Arabidopsis thaliana: one gene and its partners. The protein of the gene in region 1 interacts with the protein of each later gene in a pairwise test. Each region holds a gene or a part of one and is shown on either strand. Other genes may lie near its edges. The genes, in order: HESO1, AT3G09250, SUA and AT1G09660.

Region 1 (5,632 bases):
GCCTGTCATTTATGACCGTGGACTGTTAGGAGTGATGCACGATTGGTACTGTTTTCTCCTTAGAATCTGTCATATGAAATCAGAATTTGGAATCCTATAGTTGAAACCTTGGAAATTAGTGATTCATCTTGTCCTTTTCTCTGTTCATGTTTTTTAAACACAAAAGTTCATCTGTTTATGTGTCTTAAGGTAAACTAAGATTTAGTCTCTGGCTCTGGATATTTTTTTAATAAGTGATGCATTCTACCTCAGGTGTGAACCATTTGATACATACCCACGGACATATGACTTCTTACATGCCTCTGGACTCTTCTCGATCGAGAGAAAAAGGTAAGCATCATTATCTGTAACTCAAGTTCAAAGTGATTTATAAATTTTTAATCTATGATCGTGTGGTGCCTATAGTTGAGTTTAACCATTTGTCTTGTCTGAATATTATCAGATGTGAGATGTCAACCATATTGTTAGAGATGGACCGGATATTAAGACCCGGTGGAAGAGCATACATTAGGGATTCAATTGATGTTATGGATGAAATTCAAGAAATCACAAAGGCCATGGGTTGGCATACTTCTCTGCGTGACACATCCGAGGGTCCTCACGCAAGTTACAGGATTCTAACATGCGAGAAGCGTCTCCTTCGAGCTTAATACCACACAAGTTACTGCACTAGTCAACACAATATATTTTGTTTGGTAGTATATCTCTTATTGTTTTCTTCTTTTTTCTCTTAATGTAACTGTAAATTTGATTGTGGTGTTTTACTGAGTAAAAGTTTACCTCGTCCTCATTTTTTAGTAACAACATTCTGCTATTGCAAATCTGTTGATTGTAACGAATGGATCCATAGAAAAAAAGCCCCAAGGTCAGAATACAAAATCATCCAAAATATGTGAAGGAGTATCTCTGAACCATGTCTGCACACCTCATTCTACTGCTCATGTCTCGGTCTCCAGATCTGTCCGCCTTGGCTTGGAATTTTTGATGGAGGCCTTGCGGAGTTCACACCATTCGTATATGCAGGTCTTGCAGAGTTCACACCATTCATATGACCAGATGGCTTACCAATGTGGCCCTGATTCTGACTTGAACCAGCAGATGTATTTTTCAATGGTCGGTTCCCACTCTTATATGGGCTCTTCTGCTGCGTTTGAGTTTGTGTGATTACAGGCCAAGTTTGGCCTTGGACAGGTGGTTGCCCCTGAAGATTCCTGGGGTTGTTCTGAGTCCAATTCTGTTGTGGTCGGGATTGTGTTAGTGGTGGCCAATGTGGTGGATTCGGGGTATTGTAGCTCTGTGACCAATTTTGCTGCATTTGCTGGTTCTGTGGCCTAGCCTGACCATGCAGATTACGGACATTGTGCATACCGTTTGCATGATGTTGACTTGGGAGGCTTATTGTTCTGTACAAAGACTCTTGAATGTGTTGCCCTGTCAGAATCCCTATGATGGAGTTTCTGTTACACTCTGAGACAAGACGGCGCGATGTAATCTGAAATACTTGAGCTATTCTGTCCAAATTTCTACGGCTCACACTCCTTGCAGCGTTCACCGGCTGCTCAAAAGGATCTTCAACCTGAAACACACACCATTCCCACATGTTAGCCGGGAGACTCACATGGTGCCATAGAGATGAATATAACTCAACAAGAGGTTAAGAGAAAGAAAGAGAAAGAGACTAACAAAGAGTGAGTATGTCTTTGGCAGCCATGTAGTGTTGCTGCTTATAGTTTCCCATCTTCCAGTAAACGGGCAAACACCGAACTCTTGGGCCTTCACGTTTATGTCTGAAAACTGATAGATACAGCCACACAGCAAAATCAAGATACTAATTTCTATCAAGAGCACTTTAGTGGATATTATTAAGGGAAAAAAATTAAAGCTAGAATGTATGAGAAATCAATCACCTTTGCAAAAAAAGAGACCAACAGCTCCGAGAGCGAGCTTCGATTGACTGATTTTGCTCTCTCTGATTTAAATCTCGCAATATTAGCAGCAGTAACTTGCGCTATGCTTTCCTCTGCAGTTTTCCGTACACCTACAAGACACCATACCGCTAAAACTTTTGTCCCTTTACCCCAAAAACACATATATTTTGTGTGGTTTGGCTTCAAAACCTTTTCATTGAGCGTACCTGTCAGATCATCAACCGCACTCTTCGGATATATCACTCTTAGAGGCGGCAAGATTGCAGGCACACAAGTCTGCAACAAACAACATAGAACATCTTACTATGGTTTCTAATGATGCAGTAACTGCAGAAGGCTGAAGGCAGCAAAATCTATGAATACAGAACAGCTATCTTACCTGAAAATGGAAGATGACTAACAAACTGAGAGAGTAAGAGTTGAAAGTCCCGGTCTTTGAGTCGTTGATATTATGAGCTTTCGCCCATTCCTTCACCTACAAATGTAGAATACACGAGGTAGATACGTTTAGAATCAATTAAACCTTTGGAAACACACAATATGGTTTTATTTGCATGTTAACTTACTAGCAAAACCAGGTCGCGGAATCTCCCATCTATTTCACTGATCCAGAACAAGAACCTGCTCTTCAAAAGCCCATCCAGGTTATCAATAGAAATGTCACAAGAAATTCTCTGGTGGCCGCTCACTACTTTCAGAATAGGAACTCGCGCATGAATAACAAATTGCAGTTTGTACCATAGACCTGTTTTTTGAATGATAATGGATGTGAGACAAATCGGCACATGAAATAATACTTAAACTACTTAAGTAGTATATAAGGTAAACAACAGTGAAGCAAAGAGAAAACCAAAAAAAGAAGAAAAAAATAGAAGCTAAATGAATCACCACTCGCTCTCAGTGCTCGTAGTAAATGTCCGAGTAAAGTTTGTTTCTGCTTCTTTCCAGTGAACAAGATGGAAGAACCGCTGAATAAGTCAACAGAGATATCTAAGTCTCCCCATCGTGTGAAGAGATTTGACACAAAGGATCCAAATGGTTGAACAGTAGCACCTAACAATCACAGAACCAGACAACGAGCGGCTATAAGCATCACATGAAATAATTTGTTTCCAGAACGAGAATAGTGCGAAAGAGTAACATGAACCACTTCTACTATTCTGCAGCTACAATTCCAGCAGATATTACCTTACTGAAAGCTCGAAGTATCTCACTTTCATATCCAATATCATAATCACATCCATGGCTGGTATGGTTCAAGGCAGTACTAGACAGTAAGAAAAATGGGAGAAGCACAAAAGTGCATCAAGAGTCATCACCTCTTAAACATTCTACGGATTGTAAGACGTCACGCAACTGATCAATGACTGTGATCCTCGTATCCCTATCTGCTCGTGTGGGTTTAATCACTTGAAGAATTTCTTGAAGAGTAGGATCCAGGAAAGGGTTTCTACTCATCGTCTTGCTCCCTCTACAATAACACCAAACACACATTGCCAAGTTATCTCAAAGAAAACATCATGCAACAATAACACAAGGACTTCACAAGCTCCAATCAAAGTAAATTCTTGAGATTAAAGGTTCAGTTTTTCTGATATCTTGCTCACTTACTACTCCAAAGGAACAACCTTTGTCACTAAAAGCAAGATTCTTCATTCTCTAGACCCAGTGGCCCACATTTTAGTATCATCAAAACTGTGAAAACTCTACCCAAAACCTTACAAAATTCCTAATAAAAAGAATCAGTGAGTACTGGGTTTTCACATCCACTGGACTTACAAAAGGATGATTCGAAGGAGATGAAGAAACCTTTAGCCCAAGAACCCAGAATCTAATTCCAATCTAGGGTTTTTCTCTCCCAAATCAGTAATCCGTACCGAATCACCCAACTTGAGAATGCTCGGAGATAATTTTAGCGCTCGCAGGCGAAGACAATGAAAAGTCTTTGGAAGGTTTACTTTATTTTATTCAATGCGACGAAGGAAACACTTCTTTATTTCATTTTATTTAATGAATGATGTGACCATCTTTTTTAGGAACCAATAACATTATTACAAAATATACTATAGAAAATTGTTGGATTTTTAAAATCAATGCTAAATTAAAGGGTATATATTCAATCAAATATTTTGAGATAATTTATTTTACATATTAAAAAAATTGCATGTTATTTGATCATAGATTTTACAAAGTCATATTAAATATGATGTTAATGGTTAGTATTTGTAAATATCTCTTAAACCCTAGTTATTAAACTGATGAATTTTCTTTACATCTATTTTTATTAGAAACATTTTAGACAATGTTTATTTATGATTTTGATGTGGTTGCATACTTGCATGCACATGGAAAATTATCCTTTTGACAAAAACTAGTTGGCTTTCTTCTTTTTGTTCAATCTTTTATCCTCCTCTACACATTGTCTCATATTTTATTGCAATGGTAACCTCAACTCTTTTTACAGTTAAACCTCCATAAATTAATACTCGATAAATTAGTAACCTCTATAAATTAATAAATTCACCAGATCCCAAGTTAGGACCAATGTAAAAAGTGTAACACATCGATAAATTAATAAGATAATAACTTTTTTGAAAGTCCTATGTAAATATATAGTCTCATCAATATCATAAATTAATAATTGCATAAATGTATCAACTATATATATACATTATATGTAAGAAATGTTTTTGATTTTTTTTTACTTAAATTTGTAGTTATTCTTATTTGAAATTTAGTTCTAATGTGTTACTGTATCAAAAAAAATTTGGTATTGTTTTCTAGACATGATATAATTTTGTACTTGTAATTGATTTTAGAAAGATATTTTCTATAATGAAAAAAATCTTATAAAACTTTTTAAAAAGTTACCAAATTAGGAAAATTTCTCTATAATTAAAAAATATTAATTTATCGATAAATTAAAACCTTTTTAAATTAATAAAATTTTGCAGTCCCAACATTATTAATTTATAAAGGTTTTACTGTACTTCATTTTCTAACCTCAGTATGTTAAAAGTCATGTATGTGTACTAAGAATCAAACCTGGCACGCAAACTTTTGCTAATTTTGTCACATACAGTTAACATTTAGCATTGTGCGAGTAGCTCCACCACATTATTATCAATCGTTTGGTTCTTCAACATGTCTTATATATGGATCAATAATAGTTTAATATCATATCAGTAATCTTTGTTCTCTTGTCTTGCATGTAGAACATGTACATATTGCTTCGTCGGCAGCGAATGAAGCCTAAAATTAAAATTTGGTTTTGTCCATTGATGATATGATGGCTCGTTCCACATGAGAGAATGGTTGAGAAAACTGAAAATAATGAAGAGGATGAGAAATTATAATGATCAGACAAGTGAAGTGTTTCATTTTATAGCTTAGTGTAGAAAACGATTGCTTGTGATTGTGAATATATAGTTTTAGATGAGTTGTTTTTATAGTAACTTTGAGGGAACAATAAACTATGATATAGTTATCATTTTTATTTTAAAACAAGTAAATTCATATGAATTTCTGATATATTCATATTTTCACTATGAATTTAAACACTATAATCTTATTTCATATTTTAGCATATGATATTTTGCATGATGCTATCTTAGCCTCGACTATCTTTACTTCATCTTCTAAACTATATATTTATCAAATCTTACGTATGCATTGCATCACTTGTTTTTACATTTTGTGTAAAG
Region 2 (3,997 bases), on another chromosome or scaffold:
CTATTATTTGGTTGATTTTATCTTAGAACTAAATATATTGATGTTGATGTTCTTCTTTAGGATATGGAGAAGAACTAGGGGCCTCAGATTCTGTTGCTGTTGGTACCGCTGATCATAACAGGAAATATTATCTTCAGAGGCATCTTTTGAGTATGCAAGAAGCTGTTTGGTATGTCCTATTTCCTTTTCATCTGATATACTAACAATTGTAGTGAAGAATCTAATAAAAACATTTGTGTAATATCTGCAGCATCGACAAAGTGAATGTTACAGGATACTTTGTATGGTCATTGTTGGATAACTTCGAGTGGCAAGATGGTTACAAAAACAGATTTGGACTCTACTACGTTGATTTCAAAAATAACCTCACACGTTACGAGAAAGAATCCGGCAAGTATTACAAGGATTTCCTCAGTCAAGGTGTTCGTCCATCCGCGCTCAAGAAGGATGAGCTTTAAGCTATTTCTGTTTCAATGTGTTTTTCCTATGTTTTACTTTGTGAGTGACCAAGATTCATGAGGTCTTGGTTCTAATAAAAAGAGTTTATTTTTCTTCTCATTTTTCATTGTCTACATGATTTGCCAGATCTACAAGGCTCTGGTTATAATAAAATGATCCTTTGTGCCTCTTCTAGTACAAACGTCACAACTTATGCCTCTTCTCGTTTGTGTGGCGTTTTCATTCCCAATCGCCAACCTCAGAAATAAAAAACAGTCCTTCATCACCCTTAAGCAAACCACCAATGTATCCCACCGCAACCTCCAAACGCATATAAAAATAAAACGTTTTGAAAATGTGTATCGTTTCTTCGATTCTTTGATCAAATATCAACAGGAGAAGCATGGTGAATGCATATAAACCATTGTCCATCGATCCGTTCAAACACATTCGACACAAACTGAGCTCCCCAACTACTACTCCCTTTCGTCTTCACAAACTCCATACACGTTACATAACCTACTTCTCCTCGGACATGAACCTCGACATCTTTCAGCTCAATCAGTAACGGAAACTCATAGTTCATCCACACAAGCTCCCAGCTTTCCATCACGTAATCATAACCAGTTATGCCTTTGGCCCCTGGATGTACACAGCACGGGTTTCCTGATTTTGACCATAGTGATTGCATCGCAGCTAAATCCCCGTTTCTGAAAGATTGGTAGAACCGAGAATTGGCTGATAAAACAGAGGCTTTGTTGTCTTCTTGAAGCTCTTTTAGTTTATCACGGATTTTAGCTGCCTCCACATAATTCTCTTCCTGGACCGCAGTCTCGAGATCTTGCTTCAACGTGTTCTCATCCATTGAAATGCTTTCAACATCCGCAGTTTGGTTATTTTCTTCGCGTTTGACTCGACAAGGCCTTAAACGGGAGCCTGCTTCAAATGTTACCAGAACACTAATCAGAACCAAGTCTAAAGAAACCGGTCTTATCCAAAACCAGATCTTCTACTAGATAAGATGCTCGAACTAAAATCAAGTAGACTCACACGGTTCTTTGTTTTGCAGCTTGAGATGAGCTGACCCAAATGTATTGCTAGCTGAAACCATGTTGCAGTGAATCGGATAAGATTTAGGCAAGTGAAGCAGCCTCATGGAACCACCAAACGGAGAAGTGATCTCTACCATGTTTGAAACCTATCAGGGAGCAAACGATTCAAGGCCATATTAGCACAACAATAGAATCACATAACCATTTGCATCAAGTGGAGTAGCAACAAATTCGGATATTGAACATCTCAGTGTTGAAATTCAAACACTTTCTGATCGAATTTCTTCTAGGGTTTAATCTTAGTACAATACCTACTAATCCGTAAGAATTCTCACACCAGACAAGATTAGAACTCTGTATATGAACCATAAATCATCCAATATCAATGGGCTCTTATTGAAAATCGACTAAATTTCGAGATTACTTACGAGAAACGTATGATAAACATTTAAGTATAGATTAGAGCTGAAGAATCAAGGAAGTAAATCTCAAAGAGAAGAATTATAGCTTACTTTACAAAAAACTCCAGACCCATGAAGCGCCATGGTAACAAGGAATCGAAATATTCAAAGAGATTTCACGGAAAATCGAGTATTTGATCAATCATGCAATGTGATTATGTGAAAGCACAGAGAGGAGAGACTTCAGACTCCAAAGATAAAATTAATGGGCTTTGCATTAGGGCCCAAGTTTCATCATAAATGGTCCGTAAGCTAACTTTTATTTAGGCCTATACTGATTTTATTTGTTTTTTAATCTATTTATTTATTTTTATATAAGTCACCTAAAAACGAGCGTCCCATTACAAACTAGACTTTTTTTGTAGAGTGAATTTTGCCAGTAATGAGCGAAATATACCAAAACGATTTGATAGCGATATTTGCTTAAATGTAGTTAAACGTATGGATGGATTAAAAAAAAAAAGGTTAGTGTGATGGATATTACACACCCAGTCTCGAAAAGCTGCGGTAACTAGCAAAAATTAATTTTAATGAGAATTTTTCTGTTTTTTTTTTTTTTGGTTACAACTTAAATGAGATATTTTAATTTCGGTTTAAACGTGAATGAAATGTATGTAAGCAAAATCCATTGAATATAGACTTTAAAATTGAGGCTAAAGTAAAGACCAAACTCAACAGTCTAATGATTATTTACCAAAATAAAAACCTGTAATGTTTATGCTCAAAATTAATCTAATACCGAGTAATTTAAATGGAACAAGCAAACAATATTTTCTTTAAATTAATACATAGATCATGTCGACATTTTATCCTTATAATAGTATAAAGGTTGATCTTTTCAAAAAAAAAAAAAGTATATATTGGTCATCAACTATTTAATTATGTGATATATAAATAAATGATATTTTTGGGTCTATTTTACCACTTTCTCCGTAAAACTTTCCAACAATATTCGCTAGGCAAAAAAGAAAAAAATAATAATTTATTTTCTCCCTGCAGGCGGGAGTTTTTAACCAAGCACTTGAAAAGTTTTTCTCCACCGGAGAAACTACTGTCGCCGGCGATGGGCTGCATTTGTTTCAAACGTTGGCGTCGATCGTCTTCTCCGTCGATAACATCCACCATCACCGTCATCGACGATCTAGGTAAAATCCAACGAATTCGCCAGCCACTCCTCCTATGCGTTAATTAGATTCTGAAGAAGACGATGATCGAGAGAACTAACCTAATAGTTTTGGCTGCAGATAATAAAGAAGAAGATGAAGGAAGTACTTGTCCTAATTTCCTGGAGTTCAGCTTGGAACAGTTGAGAGTCGCAACTGACGGATTCTCCGCCGACAACATCGTGTCGGAGCACAACGAGAGGGTTCCTAACATCGTCTACAAAGGCCAGCTCAACGACGGAAGAAAGATCGCCGTCAAGCGGTTTCAACGGCTTTCATGGCCTGATTCTTTAGAATTCATCGTTCGTGTCCTTTACCCATCAATACTTATTGATTCTTCTCTGTTTGGTTTTGTATAAGATTTGACTAGTGATCGCTTATTCATCTGATTTGACTTTATTGGTTACTAACTCCGTGATACTTCTCTTGAATGTTGCAATGTTCTGGATTCTGATTTGTTGCAGAGGAGGCAAATTTCAAGTCTGTTTGACTTAGTAAAGATTCAATTCGGTTCTATGCTTGATCTGTTGCAGAGGAAAATTTCTTGAATATGGCATATTTGTTATTCAGGAGGAAGCACAAGCTGTAGGGAGATGTAGGAGTGAGCATATGGCCAATTTGATCGGTTGTTGCTCAGAAGGTCACGAGAGGTTGCTTGTTGCTGAGTACATGCCTAATGAAACACTTGCTAAGCATCTCTTTCACTGTGAGACTCAAACATTTCAAGTTCTTGATCTCTTTTGGCCTTAAACTTTACTTTAGAGTTTCATTATTGTGTCTAAGTTGTTTTTACTCTAAAATGGTTTTTCAGGGGAGAAAAGACCAATGAAGTGGGAAATGAGGTTGAGAGTTGCGTTACATACTGCAACAGCCTTGGAGTACT
Region 3 (7,582 bases), on another chromosome or scaffold:
GCTTACTTCTCGGAAGCTATGTCAGCGAGATTACTCAACTCGTGTCTCGGAATTTACGCGGCTTTGCCTTCACGGTGGATGCCTCAAACGCATAGCTTGAAAATGGTCTCTGCGTTTCAGGTCTTTAATGGGATAAGCCCTTTAGTGAAATTCTCACACTTTACAGCGAATCAGGCGATTCAAGAAGCATTTGAGAAAGAAGACAGTGTACACATCATTGACTTGGACATCATGCAGGGACTTCAATGGCCTGGTTTATTCCACATTCTTGCTTCTAGACCTGGAGGACCTCCACACGTGCGACTCACGGGACTTGGTACTTCCATGGAAGCTCTTCAGGCTACAGGGAAACGTCTTTCGGATTTCGCAGATAAGCTTGGCCTGCCTTTTGAGTTCTGCCCTTTAGCTGAGAAAGTTGGAAACTTGGACACTGAGAGACTCAATGTGAGGAAAAGGGAAGCTGTGGCTGTTCACTGGCTTCAACATTCTCTTTATGATGTCACTGGCTCTGATGCACACACTCTCTGGTTACTCCAAAGGTAAAATAAACATTACCTTTTAATCACTCTTTATCTATAAATTATTTTAAGATTATATAGGAAAGATATGTTCTAAAAAGTGGCTTTTTTGGTTAATGATTGGGGAATGAACAGATTAGCTCCTAAAGTTGTGACAGTAGTGGAACAAGATTTGAGCCACGCTGGTTCTTTCTTAGGAAGATTTGTAGAAGCAATACATTACTACTCTGCACTCTTTGACTCACTGGGAGCAAGCTACGGCGAAGAGAGTGAAGAGAGACATGTCGTGGAACAGCAGCTATTATCGAAAGAGATACGGAATGTATTAGCGGTTGGAGGACCATCGAGAAGCGGTGAAGTGAAGTTTGAGAGCTGGAGGGAGAAAATGCAACAATGTGGGTTTAAAGGTATATCTTTAGCTGGAAATGCAGCTACACAAGCGACTCTACTGTTGGGAATGTTTCCTTCGGATGGTTACACTTTGGTTGATGATAATGGTACACTTAAGCTTGGATGGAAAGATCTTTCGTTACTCACTGCTTCAGCTTGGACGCCTCGTTCTTAGTTTTCTTCTCCTTTTTCACAAACAATGTGCCCATAAATAGATTTACCTGTTTTTTTTTTGTTATGTATCAAAAAGAGAGGATTTTTTGAAGTCAAATTGTTCTCACTCACACTCTGTATTGGCTACCTGATTGGTGGAATACATAGAAGTTAATCATGAAGATTAGAACACTTGATATTGAAGAAAACACTTGAAAATGGTACATCAATAATAAAAATGATAACACGTTTAACTGAAAAATCATTTACAAATACACAATTCTTTTGAAGGCTACCATTTTTTTTTTTGGGAATTGTTATGTATTTTTTTTTTAGCAACTTGAATTGTTTTGGTTTACTTTTTTCCAAAAAAAAAATATATACATGTTGTTTTTTATTTTTGTTATGGCAAAGAAATTGAGATGTTTGGATTTTTCAATTAAAAAAAAAAAAACTCATCTACGCCTTTTCATATTTCGCTTGAACAACAACGAAACCCTAATCTGGTTAAAGTTGGATTCGGCCAAGTCCACCACCGTGGAGCTCTGAATTCATTTCTCTTGTAATTCATCGATCGCTGTTGAATATTTTCAATTTGAGTTCCCACGGTAGAAACCATTCCGATTTATACGGCTACTTCATCGCTCGAGCTCTCTCGTTTCTGTATCGATCGCAGCGTATCTGATTTGTCACCGGTTTCAGGCTTGTTTCTCTGACCTCTGGTTATCGGCTCCCTGATTTTGCGCTCTATCTATTAATCAATCTCTTATTCCAAGTCTTTGTTCCGCTGTTATCACAGCTCATCTTCATCTTCCATTCACTGGTGTCTTTGGTCCGGCGTCGTTGTGCTGCTTTCAGTTCATCACAGGTATTCTCATTTTTACCTGTTTCTTTTTTATTGAGGATTTCGTGGATGTGACCAGTTCAAGTTTTTTGTATGTTACTTTGTATAGCTTTTAAGACTCGATTACTGAGAATTTAGGCCTAATCGTCAGCTGAAAATATAATGATCTCTACTGTTGTATGCATTCTTCTCGTGCTTTTGTTACTTCATCGCCAATGCATGTTTTTCTACTCTGAGAGTGAGAGAATCTCTAGCTAGTTCCTACAAAGTCTCTTTGTGATCAGTGTTGGGAATTCTTAATTATATATGCATTAAGATATACCTGTCTCAGACTCTATACGTGATTTTCAGGAAAGAGCTTTAAATATTAAGCTTTGAATATTCTCTCAGACCATCAAAGATTTGCTTGGTGCACTGGCCGGAAATGGATCCTAGTCGATATGGTCGTCAGCAAGAATGGGATAATAACAGTGTAATTGTGGTTTTCTCCTTACATATATGGGATGATAAACAAGATATTTTTAGGGATGTTATGAATCTCAACTCATCCGTGGAGTGAGAGACTTGGGAGAGTGAGGATGTGGATGGGATTTGGCTAATGTAATATCCGTCAATGATGTTTGTTGCTGACATAGCTTATTCTCTTCAATTCACAGGCTCCGGAGGGTTATGGTACTCAGCATGATCCAAATCATCGGTGAGTGCTAGTAAAATGGATTACATTGATGTAGTTGTTAATTTGTTATTGCTCATGGGGGTATATTTATTTTAGCTACTGTAACTAAATTGTATTTCTTGTACTTTATTTGGTTTGGTTACTTGTGCCGAAATATTCATGATAGTTCATATTTCATTTTTTTAATATCTTTTCTGTACCTATACTACATTGCTCTTACAGGTTTGGCGTATCATATGATGACGGATATCCTGATGAAAGGTTGATGCGGGATGATGTCTACAACTATCCACCTGGACATAATACTCTGGGTGACTTGCCTCAATCTAGAAAGCGAAACTATGAAGAAAATTATCCCAGTGAACTTCGCAGGCAAGAAAAGCCTTACATCGATTCAAATTATGCTGCTGACTATTATCATGATAGTGAAGCTGGGAGTCGTAATGGACATTACCGTGATCATGAACACGAAAGGTCGTCCAGATATGATGGCTGCGATGACTATTCTTGTAATGATAACAACTATAGATCGAAAAATTACCATCATAGCAGAGATGATGGTCGTGAAAAAGATTATGATTATACTCGCCGAAGTTATGATTCTGAGTATGAAAGGGCCAGTGTGAGAGATGGCAGTCGAAAGAGCCGTGATCCGCAGGACAGAGAACGGAATTCTCGAGATAGAGAATGGGATTCACGTGATAGGGAGTGGGACAAAAGATGTTACAGCCGCGAAAGAGATGAGAGTCCTCATAAGAGATATGAGAAGTCACGATCTCGATCTACCGGACGTGGGGAGTTCTCTAGATCAAGATCTCCTAGAGGTCGGAGCCATGGGCGGAGTTACCGGGAGGACAGCTATGAGGGGGATCACTGGAATGAAAGTGAGAGGCGAAGAGAATATGAAGATAGACATAACCAGGATCATTTTTCTGCTGTATAAAATATTCTCTCATCCCTGGTCTATATTCTTTTGTTGCGAAGACATTTAAAAAATCCGTTCCTATATTTTTATGGTTTTTGCTAGACCCCATCCGCCACTGTTGTTGTGAAGGGTCTCTCTATGAAATCAACAGAAGAAGATCTATACCAGATTCTGGTAAACTCTTCATTTTTTTGAATCTGTATGTCCTCAGGTTTAAACAATTTTTCATGCATGACTTCATTATTCCCATGTGCATGCTAGGCTGAATGGGGTCCTTTGCATCATGTTCGTGTTATTCGGGAGCAAAATTCTGGGATTTCTCGTGGATTTGCTTTTATTGATTTCCCCACGGTGGTATTTGCTTTCAACTAATCTGTTAATTCCTTGCGCTTTTTCTTGTGATTTCTTCAACACTGTGTGCATTTATGTATTTTGTCTGAGCAGGATGCCGCACGCACCATGATGGATAGAATTGAGCATGATGGTATAGTTTTGGATGGAAGGAAACTTATGTTCCATTACAGGTCTTTTTTTAAATAAACATAAGACTTTGATTGATTTAGATATTACCTATGGAGGGATCATAGAATTACTACACATTTAAATTATTGTTTCTTGACCGTTTCAGTATCAGAGTATAACATTCTTACACTAAATTGCGTGTGTTGTAGCAGCCAACCTACTGGTAGGGCTGGTGTGTCCCGTAGGCAGGAACATGCTTCTAGACGCAGTTATGGTGGAAGTCGAAACATGATAGTTCCCACAGATTGGATCTGTACAATCTGTGGCTGTATCAATTTTGCGCGGCGAACCTCTTGCTTTCAGGTTGGTGCATTGTTTTGGATGAAAGTTCTGTAAATTTCATTGTCAGGACTAGAGTATAAACCCATCTGTTAAGAACAGAAATTACATATATTTAATTACCGGAAGAACTACTCATTGTTTGGTGATTCTAGAGTCTCAAACAAAGTGATAACTACTCATGATTTGGTGACGACAATACCTTAAAAAAAATAGAACCGATAAAACTTTCAGAATATATCTGTTTTTTGCTCCTTAGAGATTATTTGCAGTTCCTTTTGGTGACGAATATGTATCATCAATTGACACTTTGTTTGAGACTAGGGTGGCATACATATTTTGGTAGTAATGGTAAATGAACATTTTAATTTAATGTCGACACATTGATGTCCATACCTATGCTAGAATGTATTTGTTTGCATATACAATAGTTTGTTTGGAAATAGAGAAATTTCCATTTTTCAAATGTCAATAAAAAAAGAAGTCAACTAAAACCCTTTAACTGATCTTTTTTGATGGGTTTTTAATTTATCTTTCCTTCTATTTACTTAAACTCTGTGAAGTCTTTATCAATAGTTTAATCTTGTGGTGGACAATTGTATCTGTAGCCCTTCTTTGCCATGCCGCTGTCTGTGTCTTGATTTATGATAGAACACTCAAAAGTCCTAAGTTCAGTTATAATATGGAATAACAAATTTGTGGCCATTGCATAAATGTCTGTGATCTCTGTCTCCTTATGCAGTGTAATGAACCAAAGACCAAGGATTCTCCTTCAGCGGATGTAGGTTTATCAAACTCTGCAGCAGGAAAACGAATTTCTGAGACAGGTTCTGATCAGCATTTTTATTTAAGATGTTTTAAATTTCTTTCTTGAGTCAGAAACAGTCGCAACTGTTAAGGCCATAGTCTTTGTACTTTTCTACATGCCATATATACCTAAGATACATTCTGCTTATTTTCTTTTCCAGGTCCAACTCATGTCCTGGTTGTACGTGGGTTGGATGAAGATGCTGATGAGGAAATGCTTCGGTATGAATTTTCCAAACATGCTCCTATCAAGGTTAACAAAAACCCTTTTGGATTCGTTGTCTATTAAGATATTGTACTTTATATGTCAGTTGACCTGGTTTTCCTCTTTCCGCCATTTTGTAGGATCTTCGTCTTGTGAGAGACAAATTCACTCATGTTTCACGAGGATTTGCATTCGTGCATTTCTATTCGGTAGGGTCTCAAAGCCAAGTTGGTTGTTGAACTTACTCCTTAAACTCTCTCTTCTGCTTCGCTTTTCCCTTACTGATGATTTAAATTGCAAGTGTGCCTTTTGATCAAAGATTTATTCGATTGTGTAGAAATTAGAAACCCAGTCTAGATGATCAGTACCACCTGGTTTTTATTCTGCTTGTGAAGAGTGATTATGTTTTATAGTTTTTTTTTTTTATAAATGTTTAAGTGTCTCTTTAGTAATCATGATCTACTAGTTTTGTGGGTATTTTTGGCAATGTTTGGTGGTGAGCGCACTCAATCATTTATTTTGTCGTACTTTTTTATAATCTACATTCGACAACCACCTTTTGCATTGACTTGTAAAAGCTCTTGTAGTAGATTATTTATTTCGTCACTGATTCTCTTACCAATTTCATATCTGAACGGTGATCAGATTTTGTAGTAGAACTGCTTGATATGTCCAAATATCTATTTTCCCCCAGTTTATGTGTGTATTTGACTTTTTTTTAATCCACCTACCAACTTGAAACAGAAGATTATGATTATGTTCGTGTAGGTTGAGGATGCTACTAAGGCACTTGAAGCAACAAACAGAACAGCTCTTGAAAGGAATGGTAAAATTCTTAGAGTTGCGTATGCAAAGAGTGTTCATGGTTCTGGAACTGGTATATCAGCACCCTCGCACTCCAACAACCTCGCTGCTGCTGCAATTGAAGCAGCAACGTTTTCTCAACAGGTACTTGAAGATTGTTTTGATCCAGTTTCCCTCGTTTGTATTGGTGATCACACATTGATCATTTAATTAAATTTTCCAGTATCTTTAGATGAGGATTGTCATTCTTATGATTCTTCTACTCCATGTGCCCTGACACTCATGTTGGTCCTTATTAGTATGACGGTGTTGGATGGGCTCCAAAGGAATACAATACTGGTGAGAAACAAAACACTGGAGGGCAGGCCCAGGGTGTTGGGGAAATTGAATCCCAGAAAGGGACTTCTGCTCCACAGTCTGGCTATGTGTGGGATGAAGCATCTGGTTATTACTATGATGCGGCTTCTGGATACTACTACGATGGAAATTCAGGTCGGCATTTACTTATATTGTTATTTATTTCTTTGAATTGATTGTATGGTTGGGTAGCTGCAGCTCTAATTCCCATATCTGGCATTGCAAAACATGTAATGGGCAAAAGTAAGATTGATCCTGTTGGCTGGTTGTATAGTCCTGCTATAGATGTATTCTATTATAGGATAACTTCTTGGCAAAAATAAGTCGTCAGCTCTGGTTTGTTCAAACTATCCTGTTCTTTTTTATGATTGTGGAATTCTTATACTATGTATGCACCAAACTAGCAAACATCGAGATACAATCAATCAATCATACAAGTGTATGTCTTAATTAGACTTTTAAATAATGGCTGTAGGGATTCAGCAAGTGTTATATGATTACTATTATGGCTGCTGTTGGACTTCCAATGGAAGTTTTTTCTTTTAGTTATTGCTGAGTTATGCCTTCTTATATATGTGTATGTGCCTTAAAATTTCGCATCTGATATGGCACAATGATAGACTGTTTTAATGATCTTGGTTATCACTAGGCACCTCTTCTTGGTGTGTGGTGATGGGAAACTTGGTTTCACTGGTATAAGAAGTGGGTAATATTCTCTATTAATCGTATGTTTCTAAATATACAGGTCTCTATTATGACAGCAATAGTGGGCTTTGGTACTCGTATGACCAGCAAACACAACAATATGTTCCTTGTCCTGATCAGAACAATGAGAGTAAAGTAACAGAAAACCAACCAGACTCTGCCAAGAAGGAGAAATCCAGTCAACAAAAGGTTATTATCTCGGCGGCTACTACCCCTAATGTAGAAAAAGTTCTGTCCTTACCAGATGCGGTTCAGGCGGCTGCTGCAGCAGCAATTGCATCAGAGAAGAGAGAGAAAGAGAGAGTGAAAGAGATAAAACTTGCATCAAAGACTAGCCTACTCGCCAGCAAGAAAAAAATGAGTAACGTTTTAACAATGTGGAAGCAGCGGAGCCATG
Region 4 (5,793 bases), on another chromosome or scaffold:
TGGACAGAAGACAAGTTTTGTAATGTAATATGGAACAATGGTTACTAAGATGTTTAGCAAGAGCTTAATTTATAGTATATGATATTGGGATTTGGGAGGGTTTAGGTACATTGTTAATGTTAGGTTTATCGATATTACTGGAGGGAAGGCGTCGTTAGGAACTTTGTCATTAACTTTCTTGAGTTAACATGCGTAAATGCAGTGGCGGACCCAGAATTTGATTATTCCAAAAATTGGACAGAGGAGGAAGAAAAGTCACAATCCCAAACAGTTAATACAAGATCGTAGAAAAGCGTTTTTGGCGCACGTGCGCGGAGAGAGAAAGCAGAAGCAGACCTCACTTTTCTTTTTTTCTTGGTTTTTTCTTGTCTCTGGATCCTCATTGTTGTTCTCACCACCACCTACTAGCTACTACCCACATTTTTCCCCAATGTCGAACTTCTATCCGTTTTCTTCTTTGGTTTTAGGTCTTTCTTTTTGGTAGTTGTACTACAACATGTATACTTTTAATTTGCAGCAAACATGAAACTTCTCCTTTGTCAGCACTCAGCCTTACGGAACAACATGTACCCCTAAACAAAACTCTACATGACCTAGGGGATTTGAAACATCCCAAGAAATGGATTTTTTTTTTTTTTTTTTTTTTTGGGCTGTGATTGTTAATGAAAACCTTTTTATGTATACATTTGATAAAGTAAATACTACATATATTCTAGTAGAATAATACCATTTACCTAATATACTGAAATTTCTTGGGATGTTTCAAATCCCCTAGGTCATGTAGAATTTTGTTTAGGGTTACATGTTGTTCCGTAAGGCTGAGTGCTGACAAAGGAGAAGTTTCATGTTGGCTGCAAATTAAAAGTATACATGTGTAGAACAGCTAACAAACAGAAAGCATAGAAAGAAGGGAACCCTAGGATAAAGAATTAAAAAGGGGAACAAAGATTTATGCTGTTTCTTCTTTATTTCTCATTGGCAAAACGGCAGAATCTTCATTAAGTTGCGTTTTATTATTTTTTCCATTTCTTATAGTAGCCAACTTCCAACTACACCATTTAACCCGGCCGTTTTTTTTTGTTGCTAAGTAATAGGTAAATATCCTATTAATGAAAATTATGATTTACATGAACAATAGCTAAGATTTAGGATACAAACAAGGAAGACGATCAAGGATCTTGAAGATAGAAGTAGGCGCAAATGTGTTGTGAATTATGCAGCATCTTATTTCTTTGCTTCCAAGTTGTATATAAATCACGGCTTGAGTAACTAGCTTCCTTAGTGTATATGTGACTGCATCTATCATATACAGTATGTGTGTAAACTGCGTTTGGTGTAAAATGTAATTATAATTTATAGAAAATAAATTAAAGTAGTGGAACATGGAAATCACCGTTCAGATATTCTAACTGATTCACTATAGACGGAATTCTTGTTTTCGTCCATTGTTTTTACTTTTTAGAATTTTTAAGTAAAATAAATCATCCATTACATCACTGAGGTGACATCATCGCTCAGGGGACATCACTAACTACGTTCCCACTAAAAATATAGGCAAATGCAATCAAGTGAATGATGATGACCTTTCAAGAGTTCGTAGAGATAAATAAAATAATAAATATTTGGCATGTTGAGGATCAAATGAATTAGATGCATAAGAAAGGTACTAGGTAGACCAGGCCCGGCCCAATGTGTTTTGTTGTCTAAAGCAAAACAAAAAAAATTAAGCCCATTAAAGAATAGTTATATTGCCTCGGAAGGGCTCGAATCCATCATCTTCATTTTTTTAGTTTACACGGATTGGAAGTAGGCTACAATGTCCCTGAGGGAAGGTAGGCCCATTATTAGTGACCTGAAGCCCAATAATAATGAAAACGCAAAGAACCTTTTAAGAAGAAGATGACAGAATCTCTAGAGAATAAAAAACTAAACACAAAAATAGAAAATATCGAAAATGAGATGAGAGAGAGAGGAGGAGTCTCTCATCGTGAGTAGGGCTTTTGACTCCCTCCCTACTTTGCCTACTTCTTCTTCTTCCTCTGTGGCCACTCTACACAGTCCACACCTACTTCAAGACACCTTTCTCATCCTTGAGATCGGCGTCAGATCCTCCGCCGCTTCTCCTCTTCACTATCTCCGGTCACAACTTGTTTTTCTCTGTTTTTCTTTATCTCTACTTTATGCACAATCTGACTTTCTAAGTGGATTTACAGTGTTAAAGATGATGGAATCTGGCGCTGGTTTCGTGGCCATGGAAGAGAGGATCTCTCCTGGAAGTTTCTTCCAGTATCCTCTTTCTGGATTCCGTGCTTCTCCTAATCGATCCCCTTGTCCTCCCTCTGATCGTGAAAGGTTTCTATTTTCTCTCTTCTTTCTCAACCTTTTTGCTATTTGTGAATCTGTGTTAGCTTGATTGTTGTGGACCCGTTTCTTCTTCTGGACTTGTTGCTTTAGCACAACTTCAAGTGTGTCTCTTTGTGATTGGTGGGTATTGTTGCCTTTGATTGGATCAGTGTTTAAAAATGATTCTGTCAAGTTTGTATTTTCATGAACTGCTTACACAGATCCAAATTCTCGATCATACTCTCTCACCTCAACATGTCGCCTTTTTCACAATTAGCTCACTTATTATTGGATTCTATACAATGTACTCTTAAGGATTTTAACAAGATAGCTATATTTTATCAATGTTTTAGAAATGAACGTACTGATGTATTTTTAGAAGCTTAGTTTACATGTGACTGAGTGCTGATTCCAATGTCACCCACTCGATTCACACGCAACATCCACTGAAACTTAAGTTTTTTTTGTTCTTAACCTTGTGCAGGTACTTGACTGAATTATTGCAAGAGAGACAAAAGTTGGGTCCCTTTTTGCAAGTTATGCCAAATTGCTGCAGACTGCTTAATCATGGTGAGCTATCTTATTAAGCTATGTGATTTTGAATTTAGTATTTCCTTAGAGTGTGTGCACACGAACTTAAGAAATTTCCCACGTGAACAAAGCCTTAGTGCGCATCACCCTGGCTTTTTTCCAGTTAAAGGTTTACAGAAATTGGGTAAGGATAGTTGAGTAACAAAAATGTATCTACATGCAACTTTTTATTCTCTTTGTTATGGCCTTCTTAATATATATATAGCCAATCAAAGTCTATGTTACTTTTAGCATTTAGAAACAGTTTTTAATTGCAACTTATTGCTAAATGATCATCCTTGATGAGTTATGTTATGTGAAAATGAATTAAGTCTATGTGTTTGCAAATGATAATGATCGTTAAGCAAATGATCACCAACTAATTTATACTAGGAAGCCTATTTGTCCGTAAATATGCATATGGTGATTAGAAGCTTGTTTCCAGACTTGTTTACCTAGCTTTTAGTTGTCCATCATGCCCTTAAGGGATGTGTGAACCTTAAAAGACAAAGATGTGTTTGAAGTTTTCATCATTCTAACCTATTAGAACCCGAGCCTTTTGTTTCATTATTGGCATTAAAGATAAGAGACTGAAGATGCCCCTGATGTATAACTCTTACAGTTTCTTTTATACGTTTGCTTAACTGCCAACATTGCTGACGTCTGTGCAGAAATCAGGAGGGTCTCTAGTTTTCCTGATCTTGATAGATATGAGCATGGCAGTCCATTTAGATCGCTTGGTCAGCCGACAAATGGAAAGCTTGATTTAGAGGGATGGTCGATGATGCAAGCCGAGGTAAGCCACTGCTGATAGTTGTAGTCAATTAACTGATTCATGTTGAATTGTAATGGTGATACTAATAATTTTTATAATCAAGAGTGGGCTTTACCGATATTGATTGCTTTTGCTTTCTTCAGGAAAACTGTCACCTCCAGAGAGCTTCTCCATTTCGCGGTCCTTCCCCAGTGGGCTGGATTGGGATGCCGGGACTCCCTAACCCACCCATTGTGAAAAAAGTGATTAGACTTGATGTCCCAGTGGATAAATATCCAAGCGTATGTCTTAAATCTTTACCCAAATAGGTTATTATAATTGGATTGTTCTAGAGTTTAAATCCATTGAGCGTTGCAGTATAATTTTGTTGGGAGGATTCTTGGGCCACGTGGAAACTCCCTAAAAAGAGTTGAGCTAGCAACCCACTGCAGGGTGTTTATCAGAGGACGAGGATCTGTGAAGGATACTGTCAAGGTATGGCTCCTTGTTTATTAATTCTCTGAAGGATTCCATTTTGTCTCTGTTTTATTCTTACAGTTCAAAACTTCACTTTATGTCATGTTTTTACCTGTTAATCAGTTTTATAACCATGTTTTGAATACGCACAATTTTCTTCCGGCCTTTAGGAGCAATTTGTTTTCCTTTTGTGTATAAGCTTACGTCTTTTAGCATATCAAGCTTATTGTTGAAGTAATGATACATTTTTTACTGCATCAGCAGCTACTACTCTTGTTTACATTTGAAGATATGTAAATTTTGGCAGCCTGTATAAGAAATAAACTGTTAAAGTTTTAGGTTCTTACATCATCAGAAGTAAATAGAGAAAGTTTTGAAATTCATTTTTTTCTGACTCTTATATATTCTCTGACAATCTACCATGCGGTGTGAAAGCTTATCCATTTAGTTCTTTACTTCCCTGCAGGAGGAAAAATTAAAAGGTAAGCCAGGGTACGAGCATCTCTGCGAGCCACTACATGTACTGATCGAGGCCGAGCTTCCAGAAGACATAATAAACTCTCGATTGGAGCATGCAGTGCATTTCCTGGAATCACTCCTGAAGCCGATGGTACATTCTTATCACAAAAGTCCAAACATGTCTATTTTGTTCACATGGTTTTGATTCTTCTCTCTCTACAGGACGAGTCAATGGATCACTACAAGAGGGAACAGCTGAAGGAGTTAGCGGCTTTGAATGGTACACTAAGGGAGGAGAGTCCGAGTCCGAGCTTGAGCCCTTGTTTGAGCCCCAGCATGTCCCCTTTCAACAGCAAGCGTGCTAAGACAGAGATATGATCAAGAGAAACCACTAGTGCATGGGTCTTGTGGGCAGGATCATGAGTTTGCTAAGTTCTAACGTTTGGACTCTTGAATTAATTTATTTTGTCATTAACTTTATTCTTTATTTTTGTTGGTTAGCTGAGATGACCATTAACCAGTGGGTAATAAACTAATAATGGTGTTTATGAAATTGTAATCTCCTTCTCAATCATTGTAACCTTTATTTAAGTTTTAAACCCCAAACGTTTATTTCATTTTAAGTTTTGAAATTTCTCCATTTGTCTATCTACCATTCATTATCAGTTTGTTTTGAGATTTAAGGTTCAGATTCAAATGTCGGAAACTATTAGACAACAAAGAGATTCACCATTGACCAGTGTGTAATAAACTAATAATGGTGCTTATGAAAATGTAATCTCCTTCTCAATTATTTATTGATTATGGCTCTGATTCTGATGCCATGTAAAAGGAGATTATTTCAATTGAATTACAGAACAAAGTCATTGGAAGCTTCAGATAGTTGTTTGAGTTATTTGATTGGTGGTTTCGGAGAGATTCGTTACCTTGTTTCAATTTCTTTAACATTTCTTCAGAATTTGAATAGATACATAGATTTAAGACTTTGTTTTCGGGGAGTTTATAGCAACAAGATCCTAGTTTGGGCTATCGTTGAGAAACCTATAAGGTGCCTTAAAGATTCTAGAGCATATTGTGGTCACTGAAAGTATGCAAGGAAAAACGACATCATCCGACTGTGTGAGATAAATTAGAAGCATAACAAGCGCATAAAAAAGCACGACAAAAATTGTTGGTACATGTTGAAACAA

What was found.
Region 2: the proteins of HESO1 (region 1) and AT3G09250 interact in a two-hybrid assay, tested with the Arabidopsis thaliana proteins (one large-scale study listed by BioGRID).
Region 3: the proteins of HESO1 (region 1) and SUA interact in a two-hybrid assay, tested with the Arabidopsis thaliana proteins (one large-scale study listed by BioGRID).
Region 4: the proteins of HESO1 (region 1) and AT1G09660 interact in a two-hybrid assay, tested with the Arabidopsis thaliana proteins (one large-scale study listed by BioGRID).

The regions. Positions count from the first base shown.
Region 1 is NC_003071.7:16,574,004-16,579,635, reverse strand, and holds HESO1 (Nucleotidyltransferase family protein), read right to left. Parts: upstream 3,885-5,632; 5' UTR 3,536-3,884; intron 3,400-3,535; 5' UTR 3,387-3,399; coding exon 3,248-3,386; intron 2,982-3,247; coding exon 2,817-2,981; intron 2,674-2,816; coding exon 2,495-2,673; intron 2,404-2,494; coding exon 2,308-2,403; intron 2,205-2,307; coding exon 2,135-2,204; intron 2,039-2,134; coding exon 1,908-2,038; intron 1,795-1,907; coding exon 1,684-1,794; intron 1,577-1,683; coding exon 932-1,576; 3' UTR 651-931; downstream 1-650. Other genes in the region: AT2G39750 (S-adenosyl-L-methionine-dependent methyltransferases superfamily protein), read left to right, coding at 1-45, 253-330, 443-650. UniProt on the Arabidopsis thaliana protein: Uridylates small RNAs to trigger their degradation. Catalyzes the uridylation of 5' fragments produced by AGO1-mediated cleavage of miRNA target RNAs. Acts synergistically with URT1 in unmethylated miRNA uridylation, leading to their degradation.
Region 2 is NC_003074.8:2,837,118-2,841,114, reverse strand, and holds AT3G09250 (Nuclear transport factor 2 (NTF2) family protein), read right to left. Parts: upstream 2,116-3,997; 5' UTR 2,036-2,115; coding exon of another isoform or gene 2,003-2,035; intron 1,862-2,002; exon of another isoform or gene 1,637-1,861; coding exon of another isoform or gene 1,628-1,636; coding exon 1,489-1,627; intron 1,375-1,488; coding exon 861-1,374; coding exon of another isoform or gene 821-860; exon of another isoform or gene 760-820; coding exon 697-759; exon of another isoform or gene 555-696; coding exon 530-554; 3' UTR 501-529; downstream 1-500. Other genes in the region: PYK10 (Glycosyl hydrolase superfamily protein), read left to right, coding at 61-169, 251-458; BSK9 (kinase with tetratricopeptide repeat domain-containing protein), read left to right, coding at 3,015-3,096, 3,196-3,416, 3,685-3,820, 3,926-3,997.
Region 3 is NC_003074.8:20,071,543-20,079,124, forward strand, and holds the start of SUA (suppressor of abi3-5), read left to right. Parts: upstream 1-1,559; 5' UTR 1,560-1,763; exon of another isoform or gene 1,764-1,860; 5' UTR 1,861-1,929; intron 1,930-2,256; 5' UTR 2,257-2,329; coding exon 2,330-2,377; exon of another isoform or gene 2,378-2,561; coding exon 2,562-2,602; intron 2,603-2,803; coding exon 2,804-3,518; exon of another isoform or gene 3,519-3,608; coding exon 3,609-3,680; intron 3,681-3,767; coding exon 3,768-3,860; intron 3,861-3,950; coding exon 3,951-4,030; intron 4,031-4,177; coding exon 4,178-4,331; intron 4,332-5,049; coding exon 5,050-5,134; intron 5,135-5,275; coding exon 5,276-5,367; intron 5,368-5,459; coding exon 5,460-5,528; intron 5,529-6,087; coding exon 6,088-6,267; intron 6,268-6,422; coding exon 6,423-6,615; intron 6,616-7,225; coding exon 7,226-7,582. Other genes in the region: SCR (GRAS family transcription factor), read left to right, coding at 1-539, 654-1,083. UniProt on the Arabidopsis thaliana protein: Splicing factor that controls alternative splicing of the developmental regulator ABI3. Reduces splicing of a cryptic intron in ABI3, leading to a decreased in ABI3-beta transcript. Regulates the splicing of the receptor-like kinase SNC4/LRKL-2.6.
Region 4 is NC_003070.9:3,127,220-3,133,012, reverse strand, and holds AT1G09660 (RNA-binding KH domain-containing protein), read left to right. Parts: upstream 1-1,918; 5' UTR 1,919-2,139; exon of another isoform or gene 2,140-2,213; 5' UTR 2,214-2,221; coding exon 2,222-2,352; intron 2,353-2,827; coding exon 2,828-2,913; intron 2,914-3,584; coding exon 3,585-3,709; intron 3,710-3,831; coding exon 3,832-3,969; intron 3,970-4,045; coding exon 4,046-4,162; intron 4,163-4,610; coding exon 4,611-4,754; coding exon of another isoform or gene 4,755-4,808; exon of another isoform or gene 4,809-4,825; coding exon 4,826-4,981; 3' UTR 4,982-5,251; downstream 5,252-5,793.